3 linked regions of the Drosophila melanogaster genome follow. The gene in region 1 interacts genetically with each later gene. Each region holds a gene or a part of one and is shown in the gene's direction. Other genes may lie near its edges.

The links.
Region 2: of hng1 (region 1) and mirr, changing one enhances a phenotype caused by changing the other (phenotypic enhancement), as found in Drosophila melanogaster (one study listed by BioGRID).
Region 3: of hng1 (region 1) and CG4404, changing one enhances a phenotype caused by changing the other (phenotypic enhancement), as found in Drosophila melanogaster (one study listed by BioGRID).

What each region holds. Positions count from the first base shown.
Region 1 is NT_033778.4:21,166,115-21,172,468, forward strand, and holds hng1 (hinge1), read left to right. Parts: upstream 1-2,815; 5' UTR 2,816-2,882; coding exon 2,883-3,830; 3' UTR 3,831-3,896; downstream 3,897-6,354. Other genes in the region: Isha (insulator su(Hw) mRNA adaptor), read right to left, coding at 616-720, 776-928, 1,058-1,330, 1,482-2,069, 2,318-2,347; LSm1 (uncharacterized protein), read right to left, coding at 3,951-4,124, 4,187-4,371, 4,426-4,480; Xpd (xeroderma pigmentosum D), read left to right, coding at 4,948-4,952, 5,007-5,464, 5,517-5,647, 5,710-5,930, 5,990-6,354.
Region 2 is NT_037436.4:12,690,892-12,697,302, forward strand, and holds the start of mirr (mirror), read left to right. Parts: upstream 1-2,747; 5' UTR 2,748-3,420; coding exon 3,421-3,462; intron 3,463-5,608; coding exon 5,609-6,112; intron 6,113-6,411.
Region 3 is NC_004354.4:12,902,791-12,909,201, reverse strand, and holds CG4404 (uncharacterized protein), read left to right. Parts: upstream 1-3,183; 5' UTR 3,184-3,420; coding exon 3,421-3,589; intron 3,590-4,167; coding exon 4,168-4,925; 3' UTR 4,926-5,457; downstream 5,458-6,411. Other genes in the region: BRMS1 transcriptional repressor, read left to right, coding at 22-266, 514-858; mRpL49 (mitochondrial ribosomal protein L49), read right to left, coding at 1,411-1,893, 1,958-2,014; Flad1 (flavin adenine dinucleotide synthetase 1), read left to right, coding at 5,862-5,873, 6,236-6,411.

The sequences.
Region 1 (6,354 bases):
TTTCGAGCAACATTTTTATTTACATATTAGGAACTTACCAAACGTTGTTCTAGCATCGGGTAACGAGTTGTTCCGCCGGATATTATGTGGATTTTAAAACCTTACCTTTGGCTTCATTTGCATATTTTTTAAATATTTTACTATTGGTTCGACTTATTCAAATATTGGCAATTGTTTTATAGTTCAAATATATGTTGGGGACATATAGATCGACTTATGAAACTGATTTAGGGTTTGCCCAAAAGCATCATCTTTTGATTTTAAACATTTTTTTTACAACAAAATAAAATTTAATTTTAAATGGATTGGGAATTGAATTGTTTGCATATTCAAGATATATAGTATTAAAGTTATTGATTAAATAGTGCAAGACCACCCCGTTACAACTAGTTGAATCAATTTGGATTCGAACACGCTAATATCCCATCAGCTATAACAACATATTGAACACATTTCCAGGATTAACTGCACGTCAGCACAAGGCAAATAGTATCACCCGTTTTACATCTAATATGTTTATACTTTAGACCAAAATTAATGGCGAAGTCTTGGTGAAAAGCATACACAAGTCGGACCCCAGGAACTAAGATAGATTGGAAAAGTAGAAGGGTATACCTCTATGGTCTGTTGCTCCGATATGAACTCGACATCCTTGTTAAGGTCCATGCTGTCGTTCATGTTCATGCCCATGCCCATGCCCGGCGGCATACCAGCATTTCCCTGAAAGCAAATCATAATGAAAATATGTACATCGTCATGAAATCATAAGATGTACCTTCATTACGTTCTGGAAATGCTGCTGCAGTGCCTCGTCCTGATAGCGATGCTTCTGGTTCTCCTCCTGCGGCTTCAAATTTTGGAAGTTCTGCAGCGTATGGAGCTGCCGCAGCACATTCGGATTGTTTAGCAGCTGCTTGATCTTCTTCTCCTGAAAGAGTTATTTAAAAGGTTATTCAAAATGGGATCGATCTAATGTGAGCAACAAAAGCAACAAATAGAAACTTAAGATAAACAAAACTATCTAAATGAAGAGATGTGTTAATGGGGTTCGCCATACGTCTAACAGGTTTGAAGAAGTGGGCGGTGAGTCGTCGCCCATACAGTGGTGATCATCTGCCATCAGCATCTGCAGGCCTTCATCTTCTTCCTCGATGATCTCCCGCACCTGGTAGTCAATGTCGTGCGAGCTCTTGACATATTCCCGTTTGTGATGATGCGACTTGCTGGTCTTCGACGAGCACGAGACCACCGACTGTCGTTTGGAATAGTGTTGCTCCGAGTAGTGACGCTTGGAGCTGCTGCTGCCACCGCCGAACTTCTCATGGCCCAGCTAGCGATTGGGCGAAGGGCAAAATGGGCGGTTAGTGGGCAAGACATGAGAGACAGAGAAATGTAAATGCAGCAGAATTGTAGACGATGTTAGTTAAGCCATTATCCAATACTAGACACCTGTAGAAGCCTCAACCGAAAGCATCACTTACCGACAAGTCGGGCATGGCACCGCCCATCTTATCGTCGCCCCCGGAGCTGTTCATGCTTATCTCCATTCCGGAGCTGTTTAGACCGTTCGGACCGCTCGATATGTCCGCCAGGCTAAGAGCACCGCTGCTGCTGGGTCCTGGACCCACGCCGCCGCCCTGTCCTCCACTGCCACCCACCGGAGGCATCTGGTGGTAGATTGGGTGGTTTGGGTCGGCCAGGTCGAAGATCGGCTGAATGACCTCGGACTTGAAGACGTTGTTTTTCTGCCACAGGTTCAGTACCCGGATGATGCGACTCTTGTCCTCCGGAGCGCACCGGAACAAGTTGGCAAAGGTCTCCGTGAGATTACGCTGGAATCGGGGCGCGAACAGATCCTTGTCCATACCGTACTGGTGGCGCGACTGGCGCACTATCGAGTCGATTACATACAGCCCGGGTACTTTGTACTCCGGCTTGCACTTCAAGATGAACTTCTCCACACTCTGGACGACGTGCTTATACAGCTTGATGGCCCGCATCGCCGACTTGGTGATGGCGGCCATCTTCGCTTTGGAAATGGGCGGTCGGCTGTCATAGAGTCCGGAGAGCTAAGGAGAAATATAGATGTTACAGTACGGCTATAGTTTACGGATATCTGGGACATGGAGTTATCGTTATCGGGTGCTGGCCAAAAAGCAACCCTGAGCGGTGCTGTTCGGTGCTCTGCCTGCGCCTCCAGCAGGATCTGTATACCTCCCGCACATTGGACAATCCGAATACCGACTTCAAGCGGACATTGTGCAACCACGCCGGCTGCTCCATAACGAACCTCGTTTCTAATGCATCTATAGCTTACCTCATTGTTGAAGGCAACCACGGTTTCCATGTTCAATTGCTTGGTTCACTCACGGCACGCACACACAATATTTAGTTTTGCATACTTTGGTTGGTCAACACAATCGTTTAAAACTGGCGAAAAACAATTTTCTCGACCTTTCTGCGGTTTCCACGGCTTTTAAAAAAACTTTTTACAAAGCGTGAAAAAAATGGCTGCCCTAAAGCCTGAAGCGTTGCCAGACCTGTAAAGTTGACATTTTCAAGGCATTTCTGGAAATTGTGCTGTTAATGGCAGTGTGACCGTATGTGGTGCATAACGTTTCGGTATTAAAAAATTTTCCAAATATTTATAAAAAATAAAACGAAATAGAATTTTCATTATGGAATCCAAAAGTTTCATATAAAAAAATAATGACAACAAAATAAAAATGACCTTAAATAAATTTAAATGAAATCAAATCTTCTTAAATGTACTACCTTTTAAAAATAATCGCTATCGGCGGTGTCGATCTTTTTAGCATTGTGTCGATGACAATACATCTGGCAACACTGGTCAATATTAAACATATATTAAACAAATTAAAATGAGCTCAAACCACCGTCCTCTGGACGATTCGGATATCCTCCTAATACAAACCATCCGCGAGACGCCGTCGCTGTACGATCCCCAGCTGCCCTCCTTTCGGCTGTCGCAGCGCAAAGAGGAGGACTGGGCAAAAGTGGCGGATTTGCTAAACATCTCCATCTCAGACGCTCGGCGACGGTGGACGTGTCTGCGGGATCGCTATTCGCGGGAGCTTAAGCAGAAGCGCCTGCATCCGTCCGGCGAGTTTGGTCACAATGACTTCTTTCGGAAGATGGACTTCCTGCGGGACTTTGTGCGCAAGAGACGCGAGCGCAGAGGACGCGAACGGGATCGGGAACAAAAGCCAACCGGGTGGATGAAGGTTGATTTACAGCGACGGCGTCGTACCCGCCTGCCTATTGACACAGAGACCTTGATCGAGGAGCAAGGTTCGCACGCCTACGATGAGGGCGAGGAGCAACACGACTACGACGCTAAGCTGGAGTCTCATACCACACAATCGGAGACGTATTCGGTGGTCGTGGAGGCGGACGATGGGCAGGAGCCCGAACAGGAGAGCTTCGATGAGTTCCTGGGGGATGCGGAGTGCGAGCAAAAGGTCAAGGTGGTCACAATTCATCCGGAAATCGCTGCTCCGAATGCGACGTCCGCACCTGAGCCTATTGAGTCTAACCACGCGGATCTGAACTACTTGGTCTGTATGCCGCCCAATGCGAATCAGGAGCGAGAGCATTCCGCCCCAGAATTACCCAATCCCACGGCCGTCATCACCCAAAAGACTTGCGAAACAGAGGACGACTTCTTTTGCAAGTCGATTGCCGCGTATTTGCGCCAACTGTCGCGCGTGCACAAGATCAAGGCCAAGGTGGAGATGTACCAGATTCTAGAGAAGTACATACTGCTCGAGGAGTGCGGAAAGGGGTCGGGTGCGGGCGGATCAGGCTAAGCAGGTTGCATGCAATATGTACATAGGTTTTAACATAGTTTTTTAATGCAGTACAAATATACAAAGAGACGAAAATCTTTTGAGCTTAATCTAACTTTGTGCTTAGGAAAAAATGGAGTCTTAGCAGAAGTCCTCGTTGATTATGTTGGCATCTACGGCCAGGCCTCGTTCCTTTAGTGCCTTGGATACTAGGCGGTGTTTCTCCTGCCGCTGCTCCTGTTCCCTACGCTGGGCGTCCAGGATTTCATCGACGGATATCTCTTTGAGTGGCAGTTTCTGCTCCTTTTCACGGTCCTTTTACGCATATTTAAAGGGTGTTAATCAGTCATATTGAAAAAGTATCGAGTAAAGCTTACTATTTCGCCCAGTAGCACCACATTCTCCCCGCGAATGATGAAGACTCCGCGAGGAATGTCGCCGTATTCGTTGCCCACATGTATCCGCTCGATGGTGCGTTGCAGCACCAGGTTGGCGAACTGGTCCACGGACCGCAGGTATCCAATCAGAGTCCGTCCGTCTCTCAAAAGTACCATCAGTTTCTCTGCAATGCGCCGGTTTTCAACGACTGGCCTTCCTTTCATTCGGATTTACTCACTGTCAACCTCTTCCAGGAGGTGAGCCGTGCCCGCCAGCGGATTTAAGTCGTCCATGCTATGAAAATATGTGGGATTTAGATAAATAAATAAACTGAAGCAACTAAACTTTGGTCTAAATTTTAGTATTTAATATTAATGTAACCCTCGCTGAAGGGTTTAAAAAACCACAATGCTCTAGAAAAAAATACTAAAAATATTACTACACTGTTCAACGAAACTTATAAGATATTGCTTACTGAAATTGATGTTTTTAGTTTTAAAATGCATAGATATTAAATAGTTATTATTAATTTTCAAACAGTTAAAAATAAGATTTCTGCTCTAACATCAAATATTTTTACGCTGTTCACAGAGTTACAAAATAAAAAGAAGTTGACCAAAAAAATATCAAAACTTGTACTCAATCCATGCAAATTTTTCACAGCCCCATCGATAACGATGGTACAAATTCTATACCTCGATAGTACCATCGATAGTTTGCCGGCACAGGGAATTGTGAATTATCCCGGAATAGGCGAATAATGAAGTAAGTGGCAGAACGGGATAAATGAAAGTACTCCTTTAACAACCCAGTCCACAGGCTCAGCGTGGACGGCCTGTTGGTGTACTTTCCGTACGAGTACATCTACCCGGAACAATATGCCTACATGCTGGAACTTAAGCGTAGCCTGGACGCCAAGGGCCACTGCCTGTTGGAGATGCCCTCGGGAACGGGCAAGACGGCCACGCTGCTCTCCCTGATCGTTGCCTACATGGTGGAGCATCCGGAAACGGTGCGCAAGCTCATCTACTGCTCGCGTACTGTTCCGGAGATCGAGAAAGTGATCGCCGAGCTGCAGAACCTGATGGTTTACTACGAGCGCCACTGCCCCAATCCACCACCCTTCACCGGTCTGGTGCTCAGCTCTAGGAAGAACATGTGCATCCATCCGGAGGTCAGTAAGGAGCGCGAGGGCAAGGCCGTGGACGGTAAATGTTACGGACTCACTGCCAGCTACATTCGCGAACGGCACGAGATGGACACCGAGACGCCCATTTGTAAGACTATTGTTATCCATATGTAACCATTATTTCAACTGCGAACTTGTAGGCCAGTACTTTGAGGGATTTAGCCTGGAAGGCAAGGAGTCCACATTGCCGGTCGGCGTCTACAGCATCGATGATCTTAAGGAATACGGTCGGTCGCGCAACTGGTGTCCCTACTTTTTGGCTCGCTATGCTGTGAGTTTTTTCGTTTGAAAATTTCAAGACTAGATTTGACTATATCTTGCATTCTTTACCAGATTGCCCATGCTCACATTGTGGTATACAGTTACCACTATCTATTAGATCCGAAAATTGCCCAGGTGGTATCTAAGGAAATGAGCCGCGAGTCCTGTGTGGTCTTTGATGAGGCGCACAACATCGACAACGTTTGCATCGATTCGATGAGTGTGAAGATCAACAGACGCACCGTGGAGCGAAGCACGAATGCTTTGAACCATCTAACTAAACTGGTTCAGGAGTAAGTTGTTCAGGATATGCGACTGGTTTATGGCCAAAAAAAACATTCTTAATCTACAGCATTCGCGAAGAGGACACAAATCGTCTGAACGAGGAGTATCAGCGCATGGTGCAGGGTCTGAAGGATGCCAGTGTGCAGCGCGACACGGACATGATCCTGGCCAATCCGGTCCTGCCAAACGATGTCCTAACCGAGGTGGTGCCCGGAAATATTAGGAACGCCGATCATTTCCTTAGCTTTCTGCGTCGATTCATCGAGTATATAAAGACAAGACTGCGCGTTCATCATGTCGTTCAGGAGTCACCTGCGGGCTTCCTTAAGGATATTTCCTCCAAGATTTGTATAGAGAGAAAGCCTCTGCGTTTTTGTGCTGAGCGCCTGTCCAGTCTGCTGCGCACGCTTGAGATCAGTGATTTGACGGAGT
Region 2 (6,411 bases), on another chromosome or scaffold:
TCTCACTCTTTCTGGGCGCACTCTTTCTCTCTCTTTCCCGCTCTCTCGCTCGCTTAGCGCCAGTGAGCCCGCCTCGAAAAAGGTTGCTACTTGCGTACCCCCCTTTTTTCCACCATTTTCCCCGCCCATGGGAGAACTTGCTGCTGCGGTTGTCGTCTTGTTGTTGCAGTTGTTGCTGCTACTGCTGTTGGTGCTGTTGCTGCTGTTGTTGTTGTTGCTGTGCTTCTGCACAGAAGGCGACGGCAATTTTGTAGGCGCGCCAATGGGTTAACGTGATCTGAATTTGTTGCTCGCGAGCCAATTAATGTCGCTCCGAATTAAAAAGAAGATACTGATGCCAGATACAGATACGGATCGTAAAAGTCACTTCAAGTGGGTTAACCAGGAAACACCATTTTCTTTTTCTTAATAAGCTTGCCTTTTAAGTGATCAAAATTCGTATTGGCATTTAAGAATGAATGAAATCTTTTCATTTTATATAAAAATATCGAAAGTTTTAGTTTTGGAATATATTGGGGTAACACAATTTTTAAAAACAAAAATGTTAAGGGATAGACGCATTTTTGATTACAGTATATAGTTTTTTTAAATTAATTTTATTGTCAACTTTACTTTAAAATAAATTACCAAATTTTTGCAATATTTATTGATATAATATTACAAAAATAAAAAATATAATATTATTAATAATTTGGGAAATTTTAAGACATATTTTTCGGTTGAAAGTATTAAAGTCATTCAAGACAAATGTGAAATTTCAGAAAAATACACTCGTAACCCCATGTTAGTGACCTTATTACAGTGGTTGGTTAAACATTTATTCTGGCACTATCAATCCATTAATTTTCATGAAAACTTTTCCCCATGGAAAGGAAAACCGCCCAAATAAATGACTATCGAGAAACTAATCGTTAATGTCGGAGCAATGGAAAAGGATAAAGCTGCTGCTCGGCGATGGTGACTTCATTTAAATGTTGTAAGAATTTGTTTACTGCGTGTGCGACACACAGCTCAGGTGGGGGCGGTAGATGTGCGGTGGGTGTGGCAGATGCAGTGGCAGGGGCAGGAGCAGGGATAACCACCGATTGCCAGGAACGACAAAGTAGCTTTCAAATGTGCTCAGCACTCAGATACATATGTAGCACATAGACGCCATCCCGCTCTAGCAGCTGCCGTCACTCCTCTCGAGTGGCGTTTCAATTAATTAGAAAAAGTTAAAGAAACGCCACGGCAAAAACGAGAAGCGAAGTACGAAAATACAAAAAACAAAAAACAAAAAACAAATACCTACATAATAAAATGTAAGAGCGTATGTTGTAGCAGCAAAAGCAGCGACGGCAGCTGCGGTGGCGATTTTTGTTCTTCTCGTTTTTTCTTCTGATTTTTTTTTTTTCTTTTTTTGTTGGAGCAGCGCGAAAGATGCCACCAATCCAGCCAAAGAGCCAAAGCGGTCAAGAGGGGCGGTGCAGGGGGTTGGTTGCCAAAGGGATGGGGTAATGGGGGAGGAGGGGGTTTCTGGAGGGGAACGGCCGTAGCAGCGACTGCGGCAGAGGCGGATGATAAAACATTACCCATCGCGTTTGGCCCAACCTCTTCACGAGTCTCGTCGTTCATGTTCATCAGGCTTTTCTTTTTTCATCAACGGCGAAAAGCGAGAAGCGAGCGTAAACACTTTGCTTTCATACGTCGCGACATTCGTCTTGTTGTTGTTGTTGTTGTTGCGTTGTTTATGGCAACAACTACACGTAGCAACACCCACGGCAGCAGCAGCAGCAGCAACAGCAACTGCGGCAGCAGCAGCAAGTAGCAGCGTTGCAACAGCAACAGCAGCAGCAACAACAGCAGCAACATCATCGCCGACAACAACAGCAACAACATCGCCTACAAATACATACATCGGCATTTACAACAACACGCAATAACAGCCATTTTTCTAGTTGTTAAGTTAATTTTTTCATGTTCTGCCGCTCTCGGTGTTGCTGCTGCTGCTGCTGCTTCTTGTCGCCGCTGCTGCTGCTGCTGCTGCTATGCCATCTCGCTCGCACGCCAGCAAGACGACAGCCAACGCGAGCAAGTTGCGATACTACCGCTGTCGCTGCCGCTTGGTTGCGATTCGTGGCCAACGGCGCAGCGGCTATAGCCATCCCGCTCTCGCCCGGCCGCAGCTGGCAGATACTTTATTTATGGTCACACAGGCGGTAGATACTTTTTTTGTTGCCCCCACCCCTCCACCTAACCAACTGGTTTGCTGCGTCTCGCTCGCACTTGCAGCGAGATTGGTGGCTACGTTTCGGTAGGGGGTTGAGGGGTATCTACCGTAGCATACCGATTCCGATGCCGATTCCAATCCCAATCCCCTGAGTGCCACACACAGCCGGAGCGCCAGCCCACTTATAATGATAATCATTATTGCCGTTGTTGCCGTTCGTGTTGTCGTCGTGCCGCCTCGTTTGCTACTTTTTCCAGCGCACACAGATACTTTTCGCACGCACACCAGCGCACAGATACTTGGCCGCTCTCAAAAAGAGCAAAGAGAGCGCACGCACACCAGCGAAGGTGCGAGTAAAAATTAAGGGGAGAAACCCGTTTGTGCGCTCTCTCGCTCACACATACAAACGCGGCGCGGGCTATGTATCGATGTGGTGGTGCGTGGGCCTGTTCTTGTTGTTGCGCTGCGCTGTTTTTCGATTGTCGGTTGTCGTGTAATTCCCATTTGTCGTACACTTTGTAGTTGCTCAAGAAACTCATGTTAGTCTACTTTTGACTGTTACGCAGATTGTTCGTATCGTTCGTGTCCGCCGCAGTGCCAGTGCCGCAGTGTGAATAATAGTGCTCTCTGCCCGCCGCTCGCCGTCGTTCTGCGAGCTGGATTCAAATTCAGTACCCAGATTCAGAAACAGAATCAGATTCACACCCAGATACTACTATTTGCTGCCGCCGCCTCTGGTTCATTCGTGCTTCGTTTTCGCATCCTCCGGATAGAGCTGCTCCTCCCGAATACCGATTCTACCAATTCTACAAATTTAAACGACTCACATAAACGATTCCCGTCGAGCCGCCCGTCGGATTTTACGGATTTACGGTGCCCAGTAGCGCCTGTGTTGGCCAGCTAACTCGAGTTGGCCAGCTCCTTGCAGCCGTCGGCAAGTGCAACGCAGTGCAACGAAACGAATAACAAAAAAAAATAAACACAGCCCAAAGAAAGTAAACACTGAAATAGCTCGCAAGCCGGATCCAAAATCAACATAAAAACTAGTTCGGATCAATCACAAGATCACAGATCGCACAATCACAATCACTTCACTCGGATTATAAATCTATCTAAATACACATACGTCGGTTCAGTGCGCGAGTCCATCGGTGCATCGTAACTCTAAGATTTGCTTTATAGTTTTAGTTAAAAGCAAAAATTAATATTAAATGACAGTGCACAGTAATGAAACCGGTATCTGTTTAGTAATGGTGCGTATATCAATTTGTTTTTTTTCCCCCATTTTTTATTACTTGTAAGATGGTTCAGTTAATCGCTGCATTTTAGCTTGTCTGGCATTTGGATAGTGGCAATTAGATTGAAAACCCGTTCAGCTACGAGGCAAATCAGTGCAACACATGTAGATAAAAGCAGAAACAGTGGGATTACTCTGGGTTCGAATACCTTAGCATTTTGATTTGGCAAACGGAAGACATGGATTTAAAAATAAAACAGATTGAAAATGTCAGGACCACAAGTGTGCTACATTGGGCGAACAACACGCGAAAAACCGTCTGCCAATTCGGAAAATCTCTCTTATGCATCAATGTCTCTTTGGTTGTTAACCAAGCTGGCAAGGTCACCGCACATCGTGCTCAGTCACACTTGAGTGTCCAATAGGATTTTAGCCATAATAATCCCTCAGTGGTAACACGATCCCCAGTTAATATGGTATCCCTGTTCCAAAAATTTAATCGCTTGCACTCGACACTCGAGCATATTCATATATTTTCATATATGTATGTAAAAGCAACTTGTGGCGCAAAGTCGAAAGCTGAAACGGAATATCGGAAATATTAAATGCTCTTTAAACAAACATGAATGGCTGTCACTCTACCCTCGCCATCATAATGGCTACCCGAAAATAATTTACTTTAGCCGCAAAACGACCACTTCGAGTTGAGATATTTGTTGTGTTATAGTTATAGCCTGTAGCCATAGATAGTCGATAATCATCGGCGGTTGATTCAAAGAGCCGCATTGATAAGAAATCGTACGAGTGTATTGTGGATCCATCCAGCCATCCGGCAAACACCGGGAATTAATTTTTAATCGCATAGGGCCACTTGAGTTGTCACTTGATGAAAGCACGAGACGCAACACCGAACCGAATCCCAACTGCAACAGCAACATCAGCGACAACATTGTGGCGGTATCAATCACGACCGATGATACAACATGCAGCACTGTGACCGCCGGCCTGCGATAAAAATCGTATCTTACGCCTCGGATCATTTGTAAAATGTTAAACGGGAAGAGCGGCTCCAAGCCCCGAAGCCCCGAAGCCCCGGAGCCCCTGGAGCCCCAAAGCCCACAGCCCCAAGCCTCAAGAAGTGGAGAAGTTAACCAAGGAGGCAGCGATAAACAAACCTGAAACTTGTTTTCCTTACCCCATGTCGCATGTGTGCGAATGTGTACGTTGCTCTTGTCCACTGAAGTTGTTGCAGTTGTTGCTCTTGCAGTTGTTTCAGTTGACTAAAAGTGTTGACAAAAGTGCGCGATAGGCTTATGTGCACACACAAACACACTATATACCATGCTATACCATACCATACCATACCATATAGAGGATCGATCCAGGCAGTCATTGGACAACTTACAATCAAATTGCTCTTAGGACGTTGTTGCAGCTTGTCGTTGTTGTTGCTGTTGCCGCTGTCGTCGTTGGCAGCAATCGGCTGTGTAATTTAAATCAATGTTGTCAATCGAAAACATGATTTGTTGGTAATGGCGGCCCCACTTTGAAGATCGCCGGATCGCAGGGGAAAGGGGTTTTCGGGAGTGGAGAGAGGAGAGAGCACAGTTTGTAGGGGGGGAAGAATCCATCGGTTGGGATCCCAGTTTTGTGGTTCTGAGGCTCTGCAGTTCTGAAGGGCCCGTGGACAGCCCACAACCCATCCCACTGAAGAGACGCTCTTATCGCACTGATAAGGGGCTACGTTTTTAATTAAGTTTTAGTGCCAGCTGGTAGCGCGGTACAGTAGACCGTCTATTGGGGCTTTTTATCCAGCGCAAGAAGCAGCGCCTTAATGGCCGCCATAAACTCGAGAAACGAATTGGAAAAGATCAAAGTCGGATAATCAATTTACTGAAATTAACTTCAAAGATGAAGAACATTTTTCTAAAAAAGTTTCGTTTTAGAAAGAGGCCTTAAAACATTTTATTATAAGCTATCAAGGGATTAGTAGTGCAGTACTTAAATTTATAAATTTTATTTATTATTTTATTTCAAATTTGTTTACTTATTGTACAACATATTGTTCATAATCAACTTGGACAGCTATTTTTAGTACCAAACGCTTGTTAGCTCCGTTAAGCAAATGCACTCAACGTTGTTGTCTTCCACTTAACTTGCAGAATGCCGTTTCAACTCACCTTGCCACCTCGTCGCCCAACACGCCTCCAACCAACGCTCCGCAGAGTCCGCCCTCGACGCTGCCCACGCTCGCCTGTCCCGCCGCCCAGCCGCTGAGTGCACCGGGAATCGCCGGGCCAGGACACAGTGGCATGGTGACCTCGACGGTGCCGCCGGGCGCTCGCTCCACCTCGCCGTGCGGTCCGTCCGCCGGCCTGCCCGCCCTCTCGCTGGTGGGCGCACCGCCACCGGGACCGCACTCCTCCGCCCCCGGTGGAGCACCGGCGCCCGGAGCGGGCAACCCGCCCAACCGCTGCTGTGATACGGGTCGCACCATCTACACGGATCCGGTGAGCGGCCAGACGATCTGCTCCTGCCAGTACGACATGCTCAACTACCAGCGACTAGCCGCCGCCGGCGGAGTCCCGCTCGGCGTCTATCCGGAGGGCATGTCCGCCTACCTCTCCGGGATTGCGGCGGATCAGCCGCCGTTCTACGCCAATCCGGTAAGTGAACTCGGTCGTGAATAAGCTTCGGTATTTTTTGGAGAGACATGGGTCCTACACTGAGCCAAAATCAGAAACAGTCTGAGCATCTTCTGTGCAAAAACTGTGTGGAAGATTTCTTATGCTTATTTCATGAAGTTTTATAACTTCGTTTCGAAGATCCTAAATGTGTTTTTTTTTTTGCCGTGCATCGTAAAGCCTGTTCATAAGTCATATAATCCGAACAATGGCGCAATAAATTTGTGAATTTGTCGACTCGAGGAGCGGGAGACCACCATCGAAGTTGGAGTTAAAGTTGA
Region 3 (6,411 bases), on another chromosome or scaffold:
TTTCTTCTTTCCTTGACACAGTGAGCTTGGAGCGCCAATTTAACGAGTTGCGGGAACAGTACTACGTCGAGCGCATCAATCTCATCGAACGACAATTGGCCGAGGTGCGTTCCGGGCGTTCCGAGGAGTTTGTCCAGCCGCAAAAGGAACTGGACAAGAAGTATCGCACCAGGATCGAGGTGGCGGACGTCCTGCGCAAGTACCGACTGCAGAATATCGAGCACAAATACCAGTCCGAGGAACAAGCTGCCGTCCAGCACTTTGAGGTACATAACCAATCTCGATTTTTGGCGCCAAAAATGAGAAGAGCTAATTGGCCACCATATCGTCGCAATTAGATTGGCTTTCGTGTTGATAAGGCACTGGGGGCGACACTGCCAAAGCTAATTACAACACAAAATGTCACTCACTTATAGGCCATATATTAACGATTTAAGACAAATGATGGCTTAACTTAAGCGTAGAAGTAGTTGTTAATGTATCCTCTTGCAACTCACAACTTTTCCGTTGCAGAGCGAGAAACACATGGCATTGGACAATCTGCGCGAGGAGTTCATGGAGCGCATCCGTCGCCTGGAGGAGGATCGCCACAACGTGGACATCTCGTGGGCCGACTGGGGCACCGACAAGCGGCAGAGCAAGGTGCGCGGACCGGGTCGCAAGAAGGCCGTCACCGTCACGGGTCCCTATGTCGTGTACATGCTGCGCGAGGAGGATATCATGGAGGACTGGACGATTATACGCAAGGCCCTCAAGCGATCCTCCTCGTCGGCCACCGCTGCTGGCACAGTTACGCCCACTTCCGGCGTAAGCGTTAGCCTGTCCGGTTTGCCAGCAATGGCAGGAGCTAGCGGATAGCGTTGGGGCGTGGCAGCTGCCGCCTACGCCCACATGACGCGTACCTGACGGCCGCGCCCGAGGAAGCAGCAGCCGTAGACGTTTATGTATCAGTAGTAGCCGTAGCAGAGCCCCCGAACCAGACTTCAAATGCGTTCATCAAAATGGCTAAGCTCCGCCACCCATCCTCACCTCCTTTTCCCGTAGATTTTAGTACGTACGTAGTTTGTACGAGTCCCACTCTCAGAATATTGTGTGTGTGTGTGTGTGTGTGTGTCTCTCCCCTCCCCCATACAGACGATGTATGTAATTTATGCTAAAAGATAAGTGCAAATAAAAGCGAACTGCAGCCAAGTGGGCATGCGTTCAACATAAATTTAATTCGATTGCCTGCGAGTGATTCAATCTCCGGAAGGCCAGCAGTTTTGTTATCCAGACTTGGATACTATGGGTAGGAGGTCACAATGTGGGTAAGCCGCCTTAGGTGAGGCGAGACAGAAGAACACAAATCCCACATGATTTAAATCAACAGAAAAGCTTTTATTGCGGCACAGACGGTTCATTTGTGGACCTTCAGAAGCCCTTCTCCTTGAGATAGTCACGCAGGACGTCCACGTGGTCACCATGGAAGTGTATCTGACCGCTCAGCTCATTGATTCTCGTGGCGCAGACCTTGCCGTTTCGCGACTGCTCCACCACCGCACGCAGATCCTTTTCCAGCGTCCAAATGTCTCCTTGGACGCGTCGCACCACCGTGATCCGGCGCTGGCCACGGAACCTGGTGTGCAGATACACGGGCACCATGTGATTCTTCGTCCTGGCCACATGGTAACCCAGTTCTGAGCCATCCTCCTTTTGTGGCTGCCAGCCGGATGGATATTTTGGCTTCTCCACCGGCTGTGGTACTGTCTTCGCTGGTAGCAAGCGCTCCACAAAACGCCACTCGGGCGGATTGGCCACCACCTCCACTTCAGGATACTTGTCCAGCTCCTGAACTTCGCGGGATGAACGAAAACTGGACATAAGTGCCGGTTGCATGTGTATTTGCCTGGTAAGCTGCGTGAAATAAAAACAGATTTTAGGTGATTTTTTACTGGAATCCTTTGGTTTATCTGCTCACCTGGCTTAGCTTTTGGCAGAGGCCGCTGCCTAGCATCAGTTTGGCGCTTGTTGCCATGTTTTTTGGCTAAAAACTAACAGATTTCCCAAGAAATACAAAAAATAGTTGTTACATATGCACTGGCTGGTTAGTGATGCGCAAATGGTAGCGATAATTGTTTCGATTACTTAACTTGGCTAGAAGCTATCGACTTCGTTTTGTACAAAGCACCGATTTTCAAGCTAAAAAATATTTAAAAATGTAAATAGTCAAAAAATTAGGTGCAATGACAACAGTCAAATATTTAATTAGTTAATTAATTAACATCAGGTTAAATTTGATTTTATTTCGAAACATGGCTTAAATGGCCTATTGCTTAGCGAATTTATCTACTTTTTTCTAAAACTGAGGAAAATTAATCATTTCCGCCCAGTTTTTAGTAAATTTAATTAAATAAACACTATATTATATGATCATGCATTAAACGATCTTGGAATTTAGCTGCACGTACACCATTCAGCTTAATTTCTACAAGCTCAAACATTTTAGCCTAATTTGCGTTTTGTCTTTGATTGCTTTTGTCTTCATCACTTTAGCATCGCATGCAACAAATGCAGCGTGTGACGTCATCGCCAAAGCTTTAATCACACACGCACACACACAGAAGCGCCTGCACACACACAAGCGTTGCAAGTGCGGCATTTGAATTGCTTAGCTTATACAATTTTATTGCAGCTGTTGTTCGCCGTTGAGTTTTTCGATATGCGGTAATCGCGGAGTCATCGGGGTATATCGAAATAGTCGCAAAGTTGTCGATATAATTTTAGTAACCGTTGAAATGTGCAAAAAATACAATTAAAGAGAAATAAACACTTCGATTACGATCACCTTGAGTTTATAGGATTAGTAAATAGTATGAAAAATTGTGTGATCTTTTGATTATCTTTGGGAAATTTCATTATTCGGCGAATAAATATCAATATAAATATATTATTTCTGGTTAGTGTATATAGATGCTGCTCTGTACACCTTTACATTCGATTTATTCAGATGTGCTCCATTGCAATATCCTGCTAATTATGTTTCAGTGTAGATCTTGCTGCCTTTCAGCGGTGTAGGGTATTCGCTGTTCGTGAGACTCAGCGATTGCCACTTGTTGTTGCTGCTGTTTTGTGCCAGCATAAAGTGTTTGCGCTGCAGCTTTTGTTGCTATTTGCTATTTGCAGTTTGCAATTTGCAATTTGCGCGCAGTTTTGGTTGCGCGTTTGCTGCGAGCAGTTGCACTTGCACTTGCAATTCTATTGCCGCGCCCCCTCCCCTTTTTTTCTGTGTCGCCCCCTTTGTTTTGTTTTGCCTCTTTTCGTTCGCGCCCCCCGCCATCTGCACCGTCTGCAGAGCAGCGCTCCTGGAATAACTGCATGTGCGATTCACCGTTCTAGTTGGCGGCGTGCGTGCGTGTGCGAGCGAGCGAGACAGACAGAGGCATGTGCTGGGTCGCAATGGCGCGCAAGGACGATCCCGTTTTCAATGTGCGGTTCGTGCAGTTCGTGGAGAATCAGCCGTGCCTGTGGAACTACACGCATCCGGGCTACAGCAAGAAGGAGGATGTGCAGAGGGCGTGGCAGCAGGTTGCCAACGATATCAAGGACACGGGTAAAAAGGCGGTAAAAAATAAATCGGCAAAAGGCAACGGCGATTTTCCGCCTCAAGCTGCTGCTTCTTCCTCTTCTTCTTCTTCGCCGCCAATTGCGTGCTCATTTCACTGTCCGTGTGCGCGCGCGCCTGTGTGTGTGTGTGTGTGTCTGTGCGTGTGTGTGTCTATGATGCAAGCTTTCGCGAATTGGTGTGCGAAACGAATGCACTTGTTGTTGTTTTCCATTTGCCTGGCTTTGCATTGGTGTAGGTGTGTCACTGTGTCGCGCAGTTTTTGCCTGCAATTTGTTGCTGCTTTTGCGTTTCGCTTTTCGTTTACTGTTGCTGCACTCAGCCAAGGTGCACTGGAAAAAAACCAAGTACTATTCGTACAACTAAATTCCCATAATAAATTCAAAATAAATACAAAATAAAAGTATTTAAACTACAAAATATTCCATGTTACAAACAAGTATAAATCCAAGAATTGAGTTTGATGTGCAAATCAACTCAGTACTGTGGTTACCTTTTGGTGAACAAGTTTCAATTTGTACCGTAGAAATTTGTACTGTAAAAGATGTGTTTTGTTTCTCCTGCAGTTCGCAACTGTCGCGAGCGATGGCGCACCATAAGGAGCAGCTTCCTGCGATCCCTGAAGCTGGCACGCACACAAACGGGACGCGGCAAGCGCAAATACTACCTATCGAAGTATCTTCAGTTTCTCGTTCCGTTCACCAAGTCGCGATCCTGCCACAAGCAGCTGCCGGGCATGGTGCTCCGCAAACCCGGCCAAGCTGCCACTGCTCAGCAGGAAGATGAGGTGGTGGCGGCGGAGGAGGAGGCCAAGGTGAGCGATGGTGAGATGCCGCTGGACGTTCAGGTGTCCGAGGAGGAGCATCGTCGTAATCAGGAACAGGATCGGGAGCAACCCACCGCCTGTTTGCCGCTCCGCCTGCATTCCATCAAAGTGGAGCACGATTCGTCAAATGCGAACCAGCAGCTGGAGCGGATGGTGAGCCAGCAGTCGCTGGTCTCGGTGCCCGCCGCCGCGCTGGGCAATCACCTGGGCTGGTCGGATCTGACGCAGTGGTTCAAGGGACATGGCAGCGGTCATCACAAGTTAACCACAACAACAACAACACCAACATCACCACCACCGCCGCCGCAGCCGGCTACGTCAGCTCTAAGTGTTTTCACTGGCGGACCAGGAGGAGGTGGCTCACAACCGGATGCCGACTACTCCTTTCTGATCAGCCTGCATCCGTACATCAAGGAGATGAACGGCAAGCAGAATCGAAAGTTTCGACAGAAGGTCGTCGGACTCATCGACGATATTCTGGATAACAAGGATGTCTAATTTGTACACGGAAAAAAAACCGAAGATGCTTACGTTTCAGCGATGAAAATTACGATTTGTAAACGGCTCTATCAAAATTACCACACACAAGAGATGCATATTTTGAATGATTGTGCGGAAATATTCTACATACCAAATGCAACATTATTTCAAAACCAACATTTTCACCACTTTCAGATTTCATTCTGGCCATCATATTGCTAACTTTTAGACAATGAACTTAGTTTTTAAATATTTATGTCTAAGTTAAGTGTGAACGTACATGAAATTTATATCGAAGTTTATATGCACTGCATCGAAATTTGTAAAGCGCCCAGTGGAACAGGATGAAATCACCAGTTATGTGATATTTTCTCTCCGTGAAGAAAAAAAGCCACAAGAATCGAAGAAAACACACCCAGTTGATAGAAAACGCCAACAGTGCCCATTTATTAGATGTGTAGAGCGTACTTTAATTACGCTTTTTATTGTTGTTGTTAAGCACACACACAAACACGAATTTGTTATTGTCGAATAAAACATTTAAACTACGAACATTTTATTTTACTTCAGACGGAACAGAAACAAAATTTGCGTATATATGTCGCATTTGCTGGCGATATGCGAAATTGCGGATTAAAATCAAAACGAAACTTTCAAAATTATTTAATGTATAAATTTCTAGCTTTTTTTTTGAATTTCTAGCTAGCCAACCGCCTTAATCGAGTGCAATCGATAGATTCAGCGCACAGCTGATGCACCGATAGTACGCAAAGCTTCCTGGCTTTGTTGTTGTTGTTGTCGCCGTTCGCTTGTTGTTGCACTAAAAAGACGAAAAAAGGAAGGAAAATCACTGGCGCGGAATAACAATTAACAAAATGGAATAATTGCATTGCTGTCGCCGTAACTCATCAGTTAAATGTGCGCCAGTAAACAGTCGATGCAGCAACGAAACACATGAGCTATTGGGTGAGCTATGCGCGTGTGTGCGTGCGCCATGTGTTTGGCCTGCATGCGTGTGTGTGCGTGTGCGTGTGAGGGCCTGAGGTTTTGGCTTTATATCACTTTTTTTTTGTTTTTGCTGACTTTTCCGATACGAAAGTGATGTAATTTTTGGCTGGCCACAAATAAGCCAACTCACTCGCACGTCAACCGCCGAAGCATTTACCACGCTCATCGCACAGTTAAAGTTTGTTTATGGGCCTAGAAAATTACATAAAGTAAATACTTACACACACACACACACACGCAAAAAAAAGATATTTTTCGGCGAAAGTTTTTTTTATGTTTTATTTATTGAGTGCTAATAGTTGCTCTTTTGACTTTAACAGCGTGTGACGTCATCGTTTTTGCTAGCCAGGGCACGGCCACGCCTCCCACAAACATTACGCCCACTGAGCACCATGAACGAATGCCGGAAGAACATCACAAACATCACAAACATTACAGCGAACAACAGCATTCTATGCGCAAAGAGCATTAGCAAAAAGCATTTGTTTCTAGAGAA